2 linked regions of the Pelodiscus sinensis genome follow. The protein of the gene in region 1 interacts with the protein of each later gene in a biochemical or structural test. Links are inferred from orthologs where the notes say so. Each region holds a gene or a part of one and is shown in the gene's direction. Other genes may lie near its edges.

What was found.
Region 2: the proteins of CFLAR (region 1) and DEDD2 form a complex in vitro, tested with the Homo sapiens proteins (2 studies listed by BioGRID). The link is inferred for Pelodiscus sinensis from reciprocal best matches to the Homo sapiens genes CFLAR and DEDD2.

What each region holds. Positions count from the first base shown.
Region 1 is NC_134717.1:73,715,120-73,722,705, forward strand, and holds the start of CFLAR (CASP8 and FADD-like apoptosis regulator), read left to right. Parts: upstream 1-4,572; 5' UTR 4,573-4,843; intron 4,844-7,586. UniProt on the Homo sapiens protein: Apoptosis regulator protein which may function as a crucial link between cell survival and cell death pathways in mammalian cells. Acts as an inhibitor of TNFRSF6 mediated apoptosis.
Region 2 is NW_027465888.1:149,795-157,756, reverse strand, and holds the start of DEDD2 (DNA-binding death effector domain-containing protein 2), read left to right. Parts: upstream 1-4,954; 5' UTR 4,955-5,110; intron 5,111-7,148; 5' UTR 7,149-7,337; coding exon 7,338-7,806; intron 7,807-7,933; coding exon 7,934-7,962. Other genes in the region: zinc finger protein 526-like, read right to left, coding at 1-1,824. UniProt on the Homo sapiens protein: May play a critical role in death receptor-induced apoptosis and may target CASP8 and CASP10 to the nucleus. May regulate degradation of intermediate filaments during apoptosis.

The sequences.
Region 1 (7,586 bases):
CAGATTCCCCACTGAGCGAATAGTGGGGGACAGCCCACCACTAACAAGGCCCTGAGCTGGGAACTGGAGGAGAGAGGAGGATCCAGGTCCACCATCCTTTGGGGCTGTTACCTGGTGTGATCATACCACTGAGCTCACTTACTGTCCTCTGGGATTCACCATCCTGTCTTGATTGGCCATAAGTTTTGGTCTTCCCTAATGAAAGCACAGAGCTGGGTTAACAGCTCCCTAGCCAAACACCACAGATGCTGAATCAGCTCAGCTTTTGGGGAGGGGGCTCAGCTATAGGGCCTTGACAGCGTAGAGGAGTCCTGCCCTCAAAAGGGACCAAACCCCCAAATATTTCCATCTTGCTCTGTATAAAAGTTTTGCACACACAAAACTAATCAGATTCACTCTTATCAATGAAAGAGAGAAATGCACATGTAATGTCAACTGGCAGAACCAAGCCTGGGACCTCTGGAGCTTAGTGCATAAGCCTCTACAGCTGAGCAAAAAGTCGGCAGGCTCTCAGCAAAGGCTGTAGAACAAACTCATTTTCTCTGTAAGTGCCACTACATGGGACAATAAACCACACCCAGTAGATGTGTAGGTTACACATAACTGTGGCTATCCTCCCAGGTAACAATTATTTACACGGGGCTTTATAATAAATAAAAGCATTTTCATTAAGTATAAAAAGTAGGATTTAAGTGATAACAGATGGCTCAAAGTAAGTAACTAAGCAAAAGATAAAACAAAACAAGTCAGTTAAACCTCAATCACTAAGAAACTTGTTACATGCAAATGCTCATCCTACCAGTAGTTCTAATCATCTTTCTCATAAGCTAGGCAGCCTCCTACTTTGGGCCTGATTCTTCTCCTTGTTCAGTCTTAGGCTATGTATACACTGACAGGTGTAGAGCTCTGGCAGTTACAGAGCTGCTCACAGAGTGTTGTAGGGAAACCGCTGTCGTGTGTCCACATTGTGCTCCTTATGATGGTGGAACATGTCCACATTAGCAGCTCTTGCAATGCCACAGAGAGCAGTGTACTGTGGGAAGGCTTTGCAGTGCCTCATGGGGCAGTCAGCATAATTGCAGTTTTCCCAATCCCATTGCTCCGTGGTCATCCATGGACAGCAGCTTTTCAACAAATCCAGGGAGAGGTGAGAGTGTGTATGTATGTGGAGAGGCGGGAGATCATGTGTTTTGGAGGATGTCAGCATGCTGTCTTGTAAGTTCAGAGAGCAGGACAACCTGTCCTGAGGGAGCTTGGGGTAAGGAATTAGGGTGAAGGAGGGGGTGTGAGGTCTGGGGGAGGTTTGCCACTGACATCTCAGCTTCCCCTTCTTCCTGCCTGGCTCTTTGCACAGCAAGCTCTCTCTTTTTCCCCTTCTCTCTCACACACAGCTGCCTGTCTCTGTTTTCAACAGCAGGAGCATTCCACCTGAATGGTCTGCTCTATGTCCTAGAGCAAATCAGCACAGCATGCAGGCTGTCAGAAACAGCTCTGAAAGGGGAGATGCACATGCCTTTAGGGCAGACAGCTGAGTTCAAAACAAGAAACAGAGGGAAACTTGAGGGATTATGAGCCATTTCTGGAGGCCAATCAAAATGCAGCAAACAATTTAAGTGTCCACAAAGGCACCCCAGTGCTGCATCCAGAGTGCAGCAAGAACTGTGGAGTTAGTGTAGACTTGGCCTTAGATGTTTCAAGCAGGCATCTTGGGTGGTAAGTGGTGGTCTCCTGGCATCTGTAGGTTGTCAATGATGCACTGGAGGGGTTTAATCTGGGGGCTGTAGGTAATGAAAACTGGTGTTCTATTATTTTCCTTGTTGGGCCTGTCTTGAAGAAGCAGGTTTTAACCCCTCTAGCACATTATTGACAATTTACAAACAATCCTCACTCTTAAGAGGCCTTGGGAGACAGGTCAGTCCTCACCAACGGACAACCCCCTAACAAAGCAAATTCTTTCCAGCAGCCACACATCACACCTCAGACTTACTCATCTCAGGAATCTACTCCTGCAACAAACCCCATTGTCAACTCTGTTCACATATCTATACAAGTGACACTATCACGGGACCTACCCACGTACGTCACAACATCAGGGGATCATACAACTGCACATCCTCTAATGTGATACAGGCTATCAAGTGGCAGCAATGCTCCTCTGCCATGTATATTGGCCAAACTGGATAGTCCCTATGACAAAAGATAAATGGACACAAGTCAGACATCAGAAATGGTAACATACAGAAACCTGTAGGGGAACATTTTAAACTGCCTGGACACTCAGTCATGGATTTAAAAGTATCCATTCTTCTGCAAAGGAATTTCATCAGCCAATTACAGAGAGAGAGAGAGTGCCGAATTGACATTCATCTGCAAATGTGACAGTTTCCCTGGGCTTGAACAAAAACATTAACTGGATGTTGCATTATAAAGCTAGCCTTCCCCACATTTAACACCTCATTTACATCAAAAGCTGAGTATGGATCACTTCCAGCCCACTCAATTAGCCTCATTAGCAGGGGTCCTACAATTGACAGATACCTTTGTCCCCCCACCCCCACCCCCTCTTTTTCTGTTATAAATTCTGGGTTCCTGTTATTTCCACTCCAGCTCATCTGATGAAGTGGGTTTTGCCCATGAAAGATCACAATACTATATATACTTTCGTTAGTTTCTAAGATGCCACAGGATTACTCATTCAGTTACAGACTAACACAGCTACTCTGAAATATATAGAGGTGAGAAATAACAGACCTTGACCCTATTGTCCCTCTGCAAATGTGTGTACACAGAGTCAGTCCCTTACCTCTCTCTCAAACTGCCAAGTTTCAAAAAGTGCAATGAATAAAAGATTGTTGGGGAGCGGAATAGATCTGGACAAGAAGAAAAAGTCTGGAGATAAATGTGAGAAGGGAAGGACAGGCAAAAGAAACAAAAGTGAATCTGATGAAGCAGCATATTACAGAAGTCTTGAGGTCTTTCTGAGTAGCTCACATTGATCTGAGATCTACTATACCATTCGCACTGGCCTCCAGCATTGGTTAGCCAACGATTTCCATCCCAGCAAAGCACAGCGTTCACAGGCCAGTAGTGGTACCACAACATGTACGAGAGTCCCTTCAGTGGTGGACCAAGCTGAGCAATCTTCTCACGGGCATCCCATTTCATCGCCCACAACCCACAAGACAAATAACCACCGATGCGTCCCTTACAGGCAGCGGAGCACACATGAACAACCTGACGATCCAAGGGCGCTGGTCGACACAAGAAATGCTGTTGCATAGCAATGTGCTCAAGCTACGGGCGGTACGACATGCTTGGGAACATTTTTAGTCCCAGATACGGAATACAATTACCAGAATCCTGACGGACATCATGGCAACCATGTTTTATATCAACAGGCAGGGAGGCGCCCGATCCCGTTCTCTCTGTGCGGAGAGTGGCATGGGAGTCAGCCTGCTTCCTCTCACCCCTGTTGTGTGTGTGTCAGATGCCTGCGATGTGCAGGTTAATCGAGTCCAGGCTTATGGGATAACTTTGTACATGTTAACATCCCCGCTCAGCTTCCAGCTTCTCTGCCCTGACTCCTGAGCCCCCATCTCCTAACCCTCTGCCCTGACTCCTGAGCCCCCATCTCCTAACCCTCTGCCCTGAGCCCCCATCTCCTAACCCTCTGCCCTGACTCCTGAGCCCCCATCTCCTAACCCTCTGCCCTGAGCCCCCATCTCCTAACCCTCTGCCCTGACTCCTGAGCCCCCATCTCCTAACCCTCTGTCCTGAACCCCCATCTCCTAACCCTCTGCCCTGAGCCCCCATCTCCTAACCCTCTGCCCTGACTCCTGAGCCCCCATCTCCTAACCCTCTGCCCTGAGCCCCCATCTCCTAACCCTCTGCCCTGAGTCCTGAGCCCCCATCTCCTAACCCTCTGCCCTGAGCCCCCATCTCCTAACCCTCTGCCCTGAGTCCTGAGCCCCCATCTCCTAACCCTCTGCCCTGAGCCCCCATCTCCTAACCCTCTGCCCTGACTCCTGAGCCCCCATCTCCTAACCCTCTGCCCTGACTCCTGAGCCCCCATCTCCTAACCCTCTGCCCTGACTCCTGAGCCCCCATCTCCTAACCCTCTGCCCTGACTCCTGAGCCCCCATCTCCTAACCCTCTGCCCTGACTCCTGAGCCCCCATCTCCTAACCCTCTGCCCTGACTCCTGAGCCCCCATCTCCTAACCCTCTGCCCTGACTCCTGAGCCCCCATCTCCTAACCCTCTGCCCTGAGCCCCCATCTCCTAACCCTCTGCCCTGAGTCCTGAGCCCCCATCTCCTAACCCTCTGCCCTGAGTCCCCCATCTCCTAACCCTCTGCCCTGAGCCCCCATCTCCTAACCCTCTGCCCTGAGTCCTAGCTCCCATTTCCAATGTGGGAAGAAGCCTGATGCCCCAGCTGTGAAATGTGGGGAGAGTTATTGTCCCACATTCTGTATAGTGGGGGGGGGGTCCCCGCATTGTACGAGGTAGAATCTCTGGCCGCAAGCGATGTCCGCGCCCGTGCGCAATGAGCGCAGGGAAGAGCCATTTTGTGCGGAGCAGTGGAGGCAGCAGGACCCCGGAGCAGCCCGGCTCCCGGCTCACGCCCCCCGCGGGGCAAGGACCGAAGAGGCGCAGGGCGGTGCCGAGCTGCCCCAGGGCCAGTGCTTCCCGAGGGCTAAGGCCCGCCCCGTGCTGCGGGGACAAAGGCGCTTGGGCAGCAGCGAGCGGCTGCAGAACCGCGCCCCGCCCCGGCCGCCAGCCAGCCCCGGCCGCTTTCGCTTTCGCGTTGCAGCCTGCTCCGCCGGGACCCGCCGCGCGCAGCTGGGTGCGTAACCTGCCCCTTCCCCGCGGGGCCGGGCTCCGGGGCTCCAAAGCCGCCGCGGCCTGGGAGCCAGCGAGGGGAGGGGCGGCCTTTGTGACCCCCGCTGGTGGAGGGGGGGGGATTCCCGAGGCCCCCCTGGGAGCGGAGCCCCGGCGCTGGAGTGCGGCCCCGCCGTGCGGATGAGCAGCCCCCGCGGGCAGCCTCGCTCCGCAGTGTCGGCGGGCTGCAGACCCACCCAAAGGGCTGCACGAGGCGGGGCGAACTCTCTGGCTGCCCTGGGAAGTGAGCTCGTTCCGCTTTGGCTTTCAAGGGATCAGGGGCCGGTTACGCGACAGCCAGAGAGCGCCCAGGCCTTAGGAGAGCGGCTGCCAAGCAGCCAGCCCCAGGGCCCAGTGCTCCCGAGTCGTAAAAAACAACGTAGAATAGTGATAGAAATGTAGCCGTGTTAGTCTGGGGTAGCTGAAGCAAAATCCGGTGGCTTCCTGGGCTGTATTTTGCCCAGCCCTGATGTACAGAGAGTTGTTTCATATCCACAATGACCATGGTCACGTCAACAAAAATGAGACCCATAATTCAACATCAGCGTAGGTCTTTGGAAAAATGTCTCAGTTCCACAGTGGGTCTGGCCCACGAAAGCTCATCATCTAATAAACCATCTTGTTAGTCTTTAAAGTGCTACATTGTCCTGCATTTTGCTTAAAAAACAATGCAGAGCGTCAGCACACGCTCATGGGCTTTTCCTACTCTGAGAAACTCCTGGTGGGGCACGGAGCGTTTAAAAGCTTATTTAACAAAACATGGACTGGCAAACAGACACAGGGACAGAGGGAGGTGGTTGGAGTCCCCCCAGAAATGTTGCAACAGTATTTCCTAGTCCTGCTTACACGATGACAACAGGCAGGCGGAGCAGACAGGTTGCACAATGTCCATGCTATACGTGGTTGGTATGAGTAAAGCTAGCAGCACTCTGATCAGATCCCTGTAGAACCGTAAAACAGACAGTAAGTATATTGAAGCAAAATGCAGGACAATGTAGCACTTTAAAGACTAACAAGATGGTTTATTAGATGAGCTTTCGTGGGCCAGACCCACTGTGGAACTGAGACATTTTTCCAAAGAAGACCTACACTGATGTTGAATTATGGGTCCCATTTTTGTTGATGTGACGATGGTCATTGTGGATATGAAACAACTCTCTGTACATCAGGGCTGGGCAAAATACAGCCCAGGAAGCCACCGGATCTAGCCTGCGGATGCTGCAGGGAGCCTCAGGCAGGCTCCCCGCTTGCTTTGTCCCACCCGCTCTGAGCCCTGGAGGGGAGGGGAGAGGAGAGGGAAGGGCTTCAATTGCTGCTCCCACCCACAGCACAATCCCATTGTCTGATTTCTGGCCAGATAATTTCACAGATTGACATAATACTGTGTATGAAATGAAAAAATTCTTATAGAAGGTGCCAGGAACAAAAGGACTTTCCCTATTACGGGTCATAACCTTGTTGATCATTGCCAGTAGGAAACATTCAAAGAACTAATAAGAAGCAGGAAAGTTGTTGGCATTAGAGACACCAGTTTATCAGCATACATTCAGTTAGACCCAGATCCCTTGCTGTAGGAGCTTTAGCAAAAATACGAATGCAAGAAGTCATAAGCAGTTACTGCATAAGTAAAATTTCATCAGACACAATTGACAGAATAAAGCAAAAAAGGCACACATGCATAAGGAAGCTGCCAGATCAAATTTACAACATAAGAACAATTCACGATAATCTTTGGATAATATTGTATTCAGTTAATTATTACAATTTAATTACTTTGTGTAAAAAACATAGTGGGGTATTCTTACAATATAGGGCCCTGCCCCTTCTGGGACCACCCTTGACCACTTCAAAAATTATTGCCCACCCCTGGGCAAGGAACGCTGTCAAATCTGACAAGCAGAACATTTATCCTACTTTTAAAAAATATGATAGCTTCCTACCCTGTTTGTCTTTTCTATTCCTCAATCTAAGGTATGAGAAGTGACTTCATAGTAATAAATACCACATTCAATGGGCACCACTGTTATAATGTAGAAGGTTTAGACAATAGTTAAAATGCTTGAAGCCTGAGAACTCTACAGCTGCTATTGATGAATGTCAGGACCCATTTTTGCCAGCGTAGCTGCAACCAGAAATACAAGATTTTCATGTATGAGTTACCAGTGTTTCCTGTGTTCAGAAGCTTTTGGGGTAGTTTATAAACTATCTTATGTTCTGATTTTGCACTAGCTCTCTATGGACTGTGGGGTCTGAAGAGGGTAGCACAACATGGAGGATTAGGGATTAATTAATTCTATGGAGGAAGTAAAACAGCTTTATAAAAACAAACTAATGTATTGATTTTCATTGCTGTTTGATTTGAGGGTGGCTCTTCCTATTTATTCAAGGACCATGAATGGCTGTTGTGGCCTGACAAATATACTTTCTAATCTTTTCAGGTGTACGTCTTTTATTTTTGTCTAGAGACTAATTAGAGTGTGCCCATGTGGACAAAAGTCCGCCCAGAATTTAATTAGAAAATGTGTATGATGCAAGATGGTTTCTCACGAAGGCTTAAGGGGCCAACTTTGAATCTCCCTGTTTGTGTTGTAGCCTGAATTGCAGATTATTGTATTTTACAGCTGACTCCTATCATCCTGTTTTTGACAGAAGGGAAGCTGTGCCTTTGTCGGTCTCTAGAATTGATTTCCCTTTACCCCAGATACCAT
Region 2 (7,962 bases), on another chromosome or scaffold:
GCTGGGGTTGGTGAAGCCCTTGCCGCAGAGGTTGCAGGTGAAGGGGCGCTGGCCGGAGTGCACCAGCTGGTGCAGCGCCAGCTTGGCCAGGGATCCCAGGCACTTGCCGCAGGCCGGGCACGGGTACAGCTTCTTGTGGGCGCACCGGTGCTCCTCCAGCTTGGCCAGGCGGACGAAGAGGGCGCCGCAGTCCGGGCAGCGGTGAGGCTCGCGCCCGGCATGGGCCAGGCGGTGCAGCTCCAGCAGCCGCTTGCGGGCGAAGGAATGGTCACACTCGGGGCACTGGAAGGGCAACCGGCCCGTGTGGCTGACACGGTGCAGGGCCAGCTTGTGGGCCCGGGAGAAGGTGGCACCGCAGTCCTGGCAAGGGAAGGGGCCGGCACCCGAGTGAAGCAGCCGGTGCTGCTGCAGGTTGGAGGACTGGGTGAAGCGCTTCTGGCAGACGTCGCACTGGTAGGGGCGCTCGCCCGTGTGGGTCAGGTGGTGGCGCATCAGGTTGGCCTGGGAGGCGAAGGTCTTGCCGCACTCGGTGCACTGGAAGGGGCGCTCCCCAGTGTGGGTGCGAAGGTGATTCCGCACATGCACCAGCTTCTTGAAGGTTTTGCCGCAGGTGGGGCACTTGTGCTTGCGCTCCAGCACGTGCACCACCCGCTTGTGCCGCACCATGCGGATGTGGCTGGAAAACTCCTTGCCACACTGCGGGCACAGGAAGCCGCCTGCCGCAGGGGGCACCGGCAAGCCGTTCACTGCCCCGGCCGCAGCAGGTGGCTGGGCTGCCTCTTGCTCCGGCACCTGGGTTGGCTCAGGGGCGCGAGCGCGGGGGGGCGGGGCCCCGCTCTTGCCAGCGTGGGTGCGGCGGTGGTAGAGGAACTTGGTCATGTTGCTGAAGGACTTGCCGCAGGCGCAGCGGTGCAGGGGGTTGGCGGTGTGGCTCTTGCGGTGCACCACCAGGGTCATCTCTGTGCCGAAGCCCAGGCCGCAGTCGACGCACAGGTACAGGGCCTCGCCCTTGTGGATGCGCATGTGCTGCTCCAGCGAGGCTGCCTTCTTGAAGACTTTGCTGCAGTTCGGGCACTCGTGCGTGCCGTCCACATGCACGCGCTGGTGAGCCAGCAGGCGATTGGCCGTGGTGAAGCCGCGCTGGCACTCGCCGCACAGGAACTCCTCCGAAGTGTGCTCCCGGCGGTGCCGCCGCAGCTCCTCGGCGCTGCCGAACTCCCGCTTGCACTCACCACAGCGCCAGGCCCGGGGAGGGGGCAGCAGGGGTGGCACCGGCTGCTGCAAGGGGGCGGGGGAGCCGGGGGCCTCCTGTTTGACCCCCTCGGGCGCGGCCGGCTCCCCACTCTCCTTCTCCGTCTCGGTGAAGTGCTCGCCCTGGTGCTCCAGCAGCTCCTCGGGCGTCTGGAAGAGGCTGGCGCACTCTGAGCATTCGTAGGGGTGCATGGCGGGCGGGGGTGGGGCCGGCGGTTCGGGGGGGGTCCTGGCCTCCTGGGGCTTGTGGCTCTGGCGATGGGCCAGCCACAGGTCGGGCGCAGTGAAGAGCTCCTGGCATTCGCTGCACTGGTAGTGGATCTGGCTGGCGGCGGGCGCCGGGCGGGGGTGCAGGCTCTGGTGGGCCAGCAGCTGGTCGGGCGAGAGCAGGACACGGCCGCACTCCAGGCACTGGCAGTGGTTCTCGGGCGGGGGCCCGGCCGGCTGGCAGGGCTCCCCCAGGTGGCTCTGCTGGTGGATCAGCACCTCCTCCAGCGTGTTGTAGAGCAGGCCGCACTCGGAGCACATGTACTGGTGCTGGAAGAAGAGCGACGGGGGCAGCTCCTCTGCCATGGCCTGCGGGAGAGAACCTGTCAGGGGCAGAGTCCAGACCCGGGGGGGGGGGCGCCAGCCCAGGGGGAGAGACAGGGCTGAGCGTGGGGGGGCAGGGCCCAGCCCGGGGGGGGGAGAGGGCTGAGCGGGGGGGCAGGGCCCAGCCCGGGGGGAGGTCGGGGGGGCCCAGCCCGGGGGGAGAGACAGGGCTGAGCGTGGGGGGGCAGGGCTGAGCGGGGGGGGGTAGGGCCCAGCCCGGGGGAGGCAGAGTCCAGACCCGGGGGGGGGGGCAGGGCCCAGCGTGGGGGGGGGGCAGAGTCCAGACCCGGGGGGGGCAGAGTCCAGACCCGGGGGGGGCAGGGCTGAGCGGGGGGGGGGCAGAGTCCAGACCCGGGGGGGGCAGGGCTGAGCGGGGGGGCAGGGCCCAGCCCGGGGGTGTTTCTGGGGGGCTCTGCGGGGAAGGCCCAACGGGGGGTTCTGGGGGCGGGGCCCAGCGCGGTGGATTGTGGGGGAGGGGCCCGGCGCGGGGGGTGTTTCGGGGGGGGCAGGGCCCGTCACTCACCCCGGCTCGGCCACCGCCGCCTCGCTCCGTCTCCTCCCGGCCGGACCCCGCCGCCCCGCGCTTCCTGATTGGTCGCGGGCGTCTGCTCGGCGGGGCCCAATCAGCGGGCTCGATACTGAGGGGGCGGGGCGGCTGCCGTCCCGGGCGGACTGCGGGCGGGAACGAGGCTGCGCGGCGGGGGCGGGGCGACCGGGAGAGGGGCGCGGTCACAGGAAGCCCCGCCCATGATGGATTTCGAGGCGGGGGGGGAGCGCGACCCCGCCCCTCGGGACAGCACACGTGACACCTCCCCTGGGCAGCACAGCCTGCGGGACAACCCACGTGACACCCTGAAATGCCGCGCATGCGCCATAGCCCCGGCTCCCCGCACTCAGGGCCGTGGGGGGGGTCCGTTGACCCCGCCCCCCGCCAGCTGGAGCCTCCTCCCGCCCCCAGCGGGTCAGAGTCTGCGGGGCCCGCCCCCAAACTGGAGGGGCGGGGGGAGGCGCCAGGGTGGGGCTCAGCCAGTGCCGGGGGGAGGGTGCACTGCCCCGTGCAGCCCCTTCGAGCAAGGACACAGGGAGCCCCCCCCCATGGACACGTGCACCAGAGACACAAAGGGAGAGACCCCGCGGGGTGTGAGCTATGGCAGCTGGGCAGTGCTATTGGACACGGGCAGTGGCGCCCCACCAGGAGACACAGGGATAGACCGGCCCTGCTAGGCTGAGCTGGCTAAGGCAAAAGGGAAAGCTGGAGCTTTACAGACTCACAAGGTGGTTTATTAGGTGAGGAGCTTTCGTGGGCCAGACCCACTTCCTCAGATCAAATAGTGGAAGAGAATTGGCAGGACCATAGCTAACAAAGGAATACAATGAAAAAAGTGAACACATTATAAAACTGACAAATCAGATTTAGTACAGAAGGTGAGGGAGAGGGAGGTAGGGAATAGCTATTTGCTAGTCAATGAACGGCTAATCAGGGGTGATAAATGGGGAAACTATCTTGGTAATGGGTAATGTAATTAGCATCTTTGTTAAGGTCCATTCCTAATGTGTCAGATTTAAGCATGAAAGAAAGCTCTGAAGTTTCCCTCTGTAATCTGGTGTGAAAGGCTCTTTGAAGTAAGATGCATGTAGTAAGGTCGTTAAGACTGCAGCCAGGTAGGTTAAAATGAAAAGCAACTGGTTTTTCCTTGTGAAGATGGCTGATGTCTCCCCTCCCCACCCTGTGGCTGTGTCTACACTGGCGTGATCTTGTGCAAAAACTTGCTGCCTGGCTACACTGTCCACTAGTTCTTGCACAAGTAAACTGACTTCTAATGTATGAAATCAGGGCTTCTTGCACCAGAACGCTGACGCGCCCACTCAGGAATAAGCCCTTTTGCACAACTGTTCTTGCACAAGAGGCCAGTATAGACAGGCTACATGAATTTCTTATGCAAGAATGCCCGGTGGTTAAAATGGCCATCGGAGCTTTCTTGTGCAAGGGAACGTCTACACTGGCACGGGTGCTCTTGCGCAAAAGCACATGCCAGTGTAGATGCTCTCTTTTGGGAGAGCTTTTGCACAAGAACTCTTCCACAAAAGAATGCTTGCGCAAGAAGCTGTCAGTGTGGAGGTAAGGTAGCCTGTGTGTTTGGGGGGGGCTGTCATCCTCCCTCCCTGATGTGTGTGCGGGGTGGGGGGGGTCGCTTTCCTCCTCCTCCCTCCCTGATGTGTGTGTGTGTGGGGGGGAACTTTCCTCCTCCTCCCTCCCTGATGTGCGTGTGTGTGGGGGGGGAACTTTCCTCCTCCTCCCTCCCTGATGTGTGTGTGTGGGGGGGGAACTTTCCTCCTCCTCCCTCCCTGATGTGTGTGTTTGGGGGGGGGGACTTTCCTCCTCCTCCCTCCCTGATGTGTGTGCGGGGTGGGGGGGGTCGCTTTCCTCCTCCTCCCTCCCTGATGTGTGTGTGTGTGTGGGGGGGAACTTTCCTCCTCCTCCCTCCCTGATGTGTGTGTGTGGGGGGGGAACTTTCCTCCTCCTCCCTCCCTGATGTGTGTGTGTGTGGGGGGGGAACTTTCCTCCTCCTCCCTCCCTGCTGTGTGTGGGGTGGGGGGGTTTCCTCCTCCCTCCCTGCTGTGTGTGGGGGGGGGTTTCCTCCTCCCTCCCTGCTGTGTGCAGGGCGCCTCCCCGTGCCGAGGCCTTGGGGGGAGGGAACTGACAGGTTTTAATCTACTACGTCAATAGCGTAGCCGCCCCGCCCCCATCCATTGCGACCGCCCCTTTACGCGAGCAGCGCAGCTGCCCATTAGCCTCCCCAGCGCACGCCGGCTGCGCTGCCGCCCCCTTCCGTTAGCAGCGTAGCTGCCTCGCCTTAAACCGTCCTCTTCCCAGGTCTTGGCCCTGCGCATGCGCCAGGCGTGACACCCAGGGCTAGTCAGTCCCGCCCGCACACGTGGGTCACGTGGACACAGAGCGAACGTCCGCGTGCCGGGCGCGATGGGGGAGGGGTCAGTGGGAAAGCTTACGATCGGTGGGCAGTTATTTACACCGATGGGGCAGTGTGCGCATGCGCGAAGGGAGACGCCGAGAGCGGCGCGTGCGCCCCATGCGCGGGGCGGTTTCGACACATGCGCTGGGAGCAGGGACAGGGCGGGACCGGATGTGGAGACGCATGCGCAGGGCGGGGTCGCGGGCGGCAGTTGCTGGGAGGCGCAGGACGCGCATGCGCAGAGGGATCGAAGGTGCCAGAAGAAACCAAGCGGCGGCTGAGGCGGCGAGAGCTGGGTGAGACGGGCGGGCCGAGTTGTGGGGGGAGTCGGACCGGCGGGGGGCGGGGCAGGGCTGGCTACCGTGGGGGGAGGGGCGGTACGGGGGGGGCAGGGGGAGGCTGCGGTTGCCCGTGGGGGAGGGGTGGTACGGGGGGGGCAGGGGGAGGCTGCGGGTGCCCGTGGGGGGAGGGGCGGTACGGGGGGGGCAGGGGGAGGCTGCGGGTGCCCGTGGGGGGAGGGGCGGTACGGGGGGGGCAGGGGGAGGCTGCGGGTGCCCGTGGGGGGAGGGGCGGTACGGGGGGGGGCAGGGGGAGGCTGCGGGTGCCCGTGGGGGGAGGGGCGGTACGGGGGGGGCAGGGGGAGGCTGCGGGTGCCCGTGGGGGGAGGGGCGGTATGGGGGGGGCAGGGGGAGGCTGCGGGTGCCCGTGGGGGAGGGGCGGTATGGGGGGGGCAGGGGGAGGCTGCGGGTGCCCGTGGGGGAGGGGCGGTACGGGGGGGGCAGGGGGAGGCTGCGGGTGCCCGTGGGGGAGGGGCGGTAAGGGGGAGGCAGGGGGAGGCTGCGGGTGCCCGTGGGGGAGGGGCGGTACGGGGGGGGGCAGGGGGAGGCTGCGGGTGCCCGTGGGGGAGGGGCGGTACGGGGGGGGGCAGGGGGAGGCTGCGGGTGCCCGTGGGGGAGGGGCGGTACGGGGGGGCAGGGGGAGGCTGCGGGTGCCCGTGGGGGGGAGGGGTGGTACGGGGGGGCAGGGGGAGGCTGCGGGTGCCCGTGGGGGGAGGGGCGGTACGGGGGGGGCAGGGGGAGGCTGCGGGTGCCCGTGGGGGGAGGGGCGGTTCGGGGGGGGCAGGGGGAGGCTGCGGTTGCCCGTGGGGGGAGGGGCGGTACGGGAGGGGCAGGGGGAGGCTGCGGTTGCCCGTGGGGGAGGGGTGGTACGGGGGGGCAGGGGAGGCTGTGTTTTACCGTGGGGGAGGGGTGGTATGGGGGGGAGGCTGCGGTTGCCCGTGGGGGAGGGTGGCACGGAGGGGCTGTGGAGGGCAGGGTGAGGTGGCTCCCTGTGGGGGGGCGGTGGCGGAGGGCAGGGTGAGGTTGTGGTTGCCTATGGGGGTGGCAGGGTGAGGCCGTGGTTACCTGTGGGAGAGGGGTATGGGGGGCGGGGGAGGGCAGGGTGAGGCTGTAGTTGCCTGTGGGGGAAGGAGTAGCACAGGAGGGGCTGTGGAGGGCAGGGTGAGGTGGCTCCCTGTGGGGAAGGGTGAGGGGGTGGTGGAGGGCAGGGTGAGGCTGTAGTTGCCCATGGGGGGAGGGGTGGTACCAGCAGAGAGGGGGGGGGGGGTCCATAGTTGCCCATGGGGGTTGTTCTAGCTGGGTGCACGGTGGGCTGTGGTCAGGGCTGGTGCGGAAGGAACATCCTCGCTGTGAGGAGGCCTGTAGCCTGGGGGGCAAGGCATGGGCTGTGCGTGGGGAAGTGATACAGGCTGGGGGTGGGAGGGCAAAGTCCTGTTCCTGTGGGGGAGAAGGGCTGGGGGAGATCTGAGGCACCCAGCTGTGCTGGCAGGTCTTGTTGTTTGTTCCAGTCATCTGGTTGCTGCCACCTTGTGGTGCCTTTGCTCCAGGACACCTGCGCAGGGAGCCACCATGTTGTTGCTCAGCCATGAAATCGGGTTTTACTGCACAGGCTCACAGTCCAATGCAGCAAGGGGAGTGGTGCTGCGAGCCAGGGGTGGGGCTCCTAGAATCTGGCCCCAGCTTGGGGAGGGGTGCGAAGGCTAGAGGTTAGGGTGAGGCGCTGGGAGCCAAGATGCCTGGGTTCTGGGCGAGGAGCAGGGCATCAGGATTCCAAAGTTCATGACAGAATTGCAACCCATCACTTACAAATGCAGGACTAGGAAGGGAGCACAAGGGCCCTGGCTCCCTTTTCCCAGCGCTGTGCAGAGTCACTCCTGCCACTGTCTGACCTGACAGTGGATTCTGGTGGCATGTGACTCCTGGGCTTTTCTTGTCCCACTCGACTACACCAAAGTGCTCCTGCTCCAACTGACGGTCTTGTCCTGTCCTTTTGCAGACGCTGTTCAGACGCAAGTGCCTTAGCGAGTGCCCAGAGAGATCTCGTGGTGTAGGAGTCCTTACACATTCTCCATTCAGCCCTAAAACGTGTTAGACCCCAAGTCTCCTCCCAGTCACCTACCCCAAAGCACCTCCTATTCACTGCACTGCCCAAAGCCAGAGCTGATTTGCGGGCGTGTGACCTGGAATGGCTGAAATGAAGCGCCCGGTTGTTTCCCAAAGCTGGGAGGAGGAGGAGTGCTTGGAGTACTACGGCATGGTGTCCTTACACCGCATGTTTGAGGTGATCGGCTCCCAGCTGACTGAGAATGATGTGGCTGTGCTTTCCTTTCTCCTTGATGAGACCCAGCCCTGGACCCATCCCCTGGACCCTGGGCTGTGGGCTGTGGCAGAGGAGAGTGGAGCAGAGACCCCCTCACCTCTTTTAGAGAGCTGGCAAAGGAGGAACCAGCACAGGCGAGCTCCAGTGGAGGCAGCCGGGAGCCTAGAGGTGGTGGCTGAGCGGCACCAGCCCAGGAATGGGGTGGAGCTGCTGCTGGAGCTAGAAAGGAGGGGGAGATGCGACGAGACCAATTTCCTGCAGCTCTTGCAGCTCCTGCGGTTGCTGACCAGGCATGACCTGTTGCCCTACGTCACTTTGAAGAGGCAGCGAACAGGTACCAGGGCTTTGGGGGGCCTGGGGGGGTTGACTCCAGGTTGGGCTTGGGAGGGTGGAGAAGTCTGAGGGGTGCTTGTCCCTGGTGGTGCTGTCCCAAGGGAACTCACCTTTCTTCTCTTCCGTAGTGTCTCCTGAGAGATATACCTACGGCCCA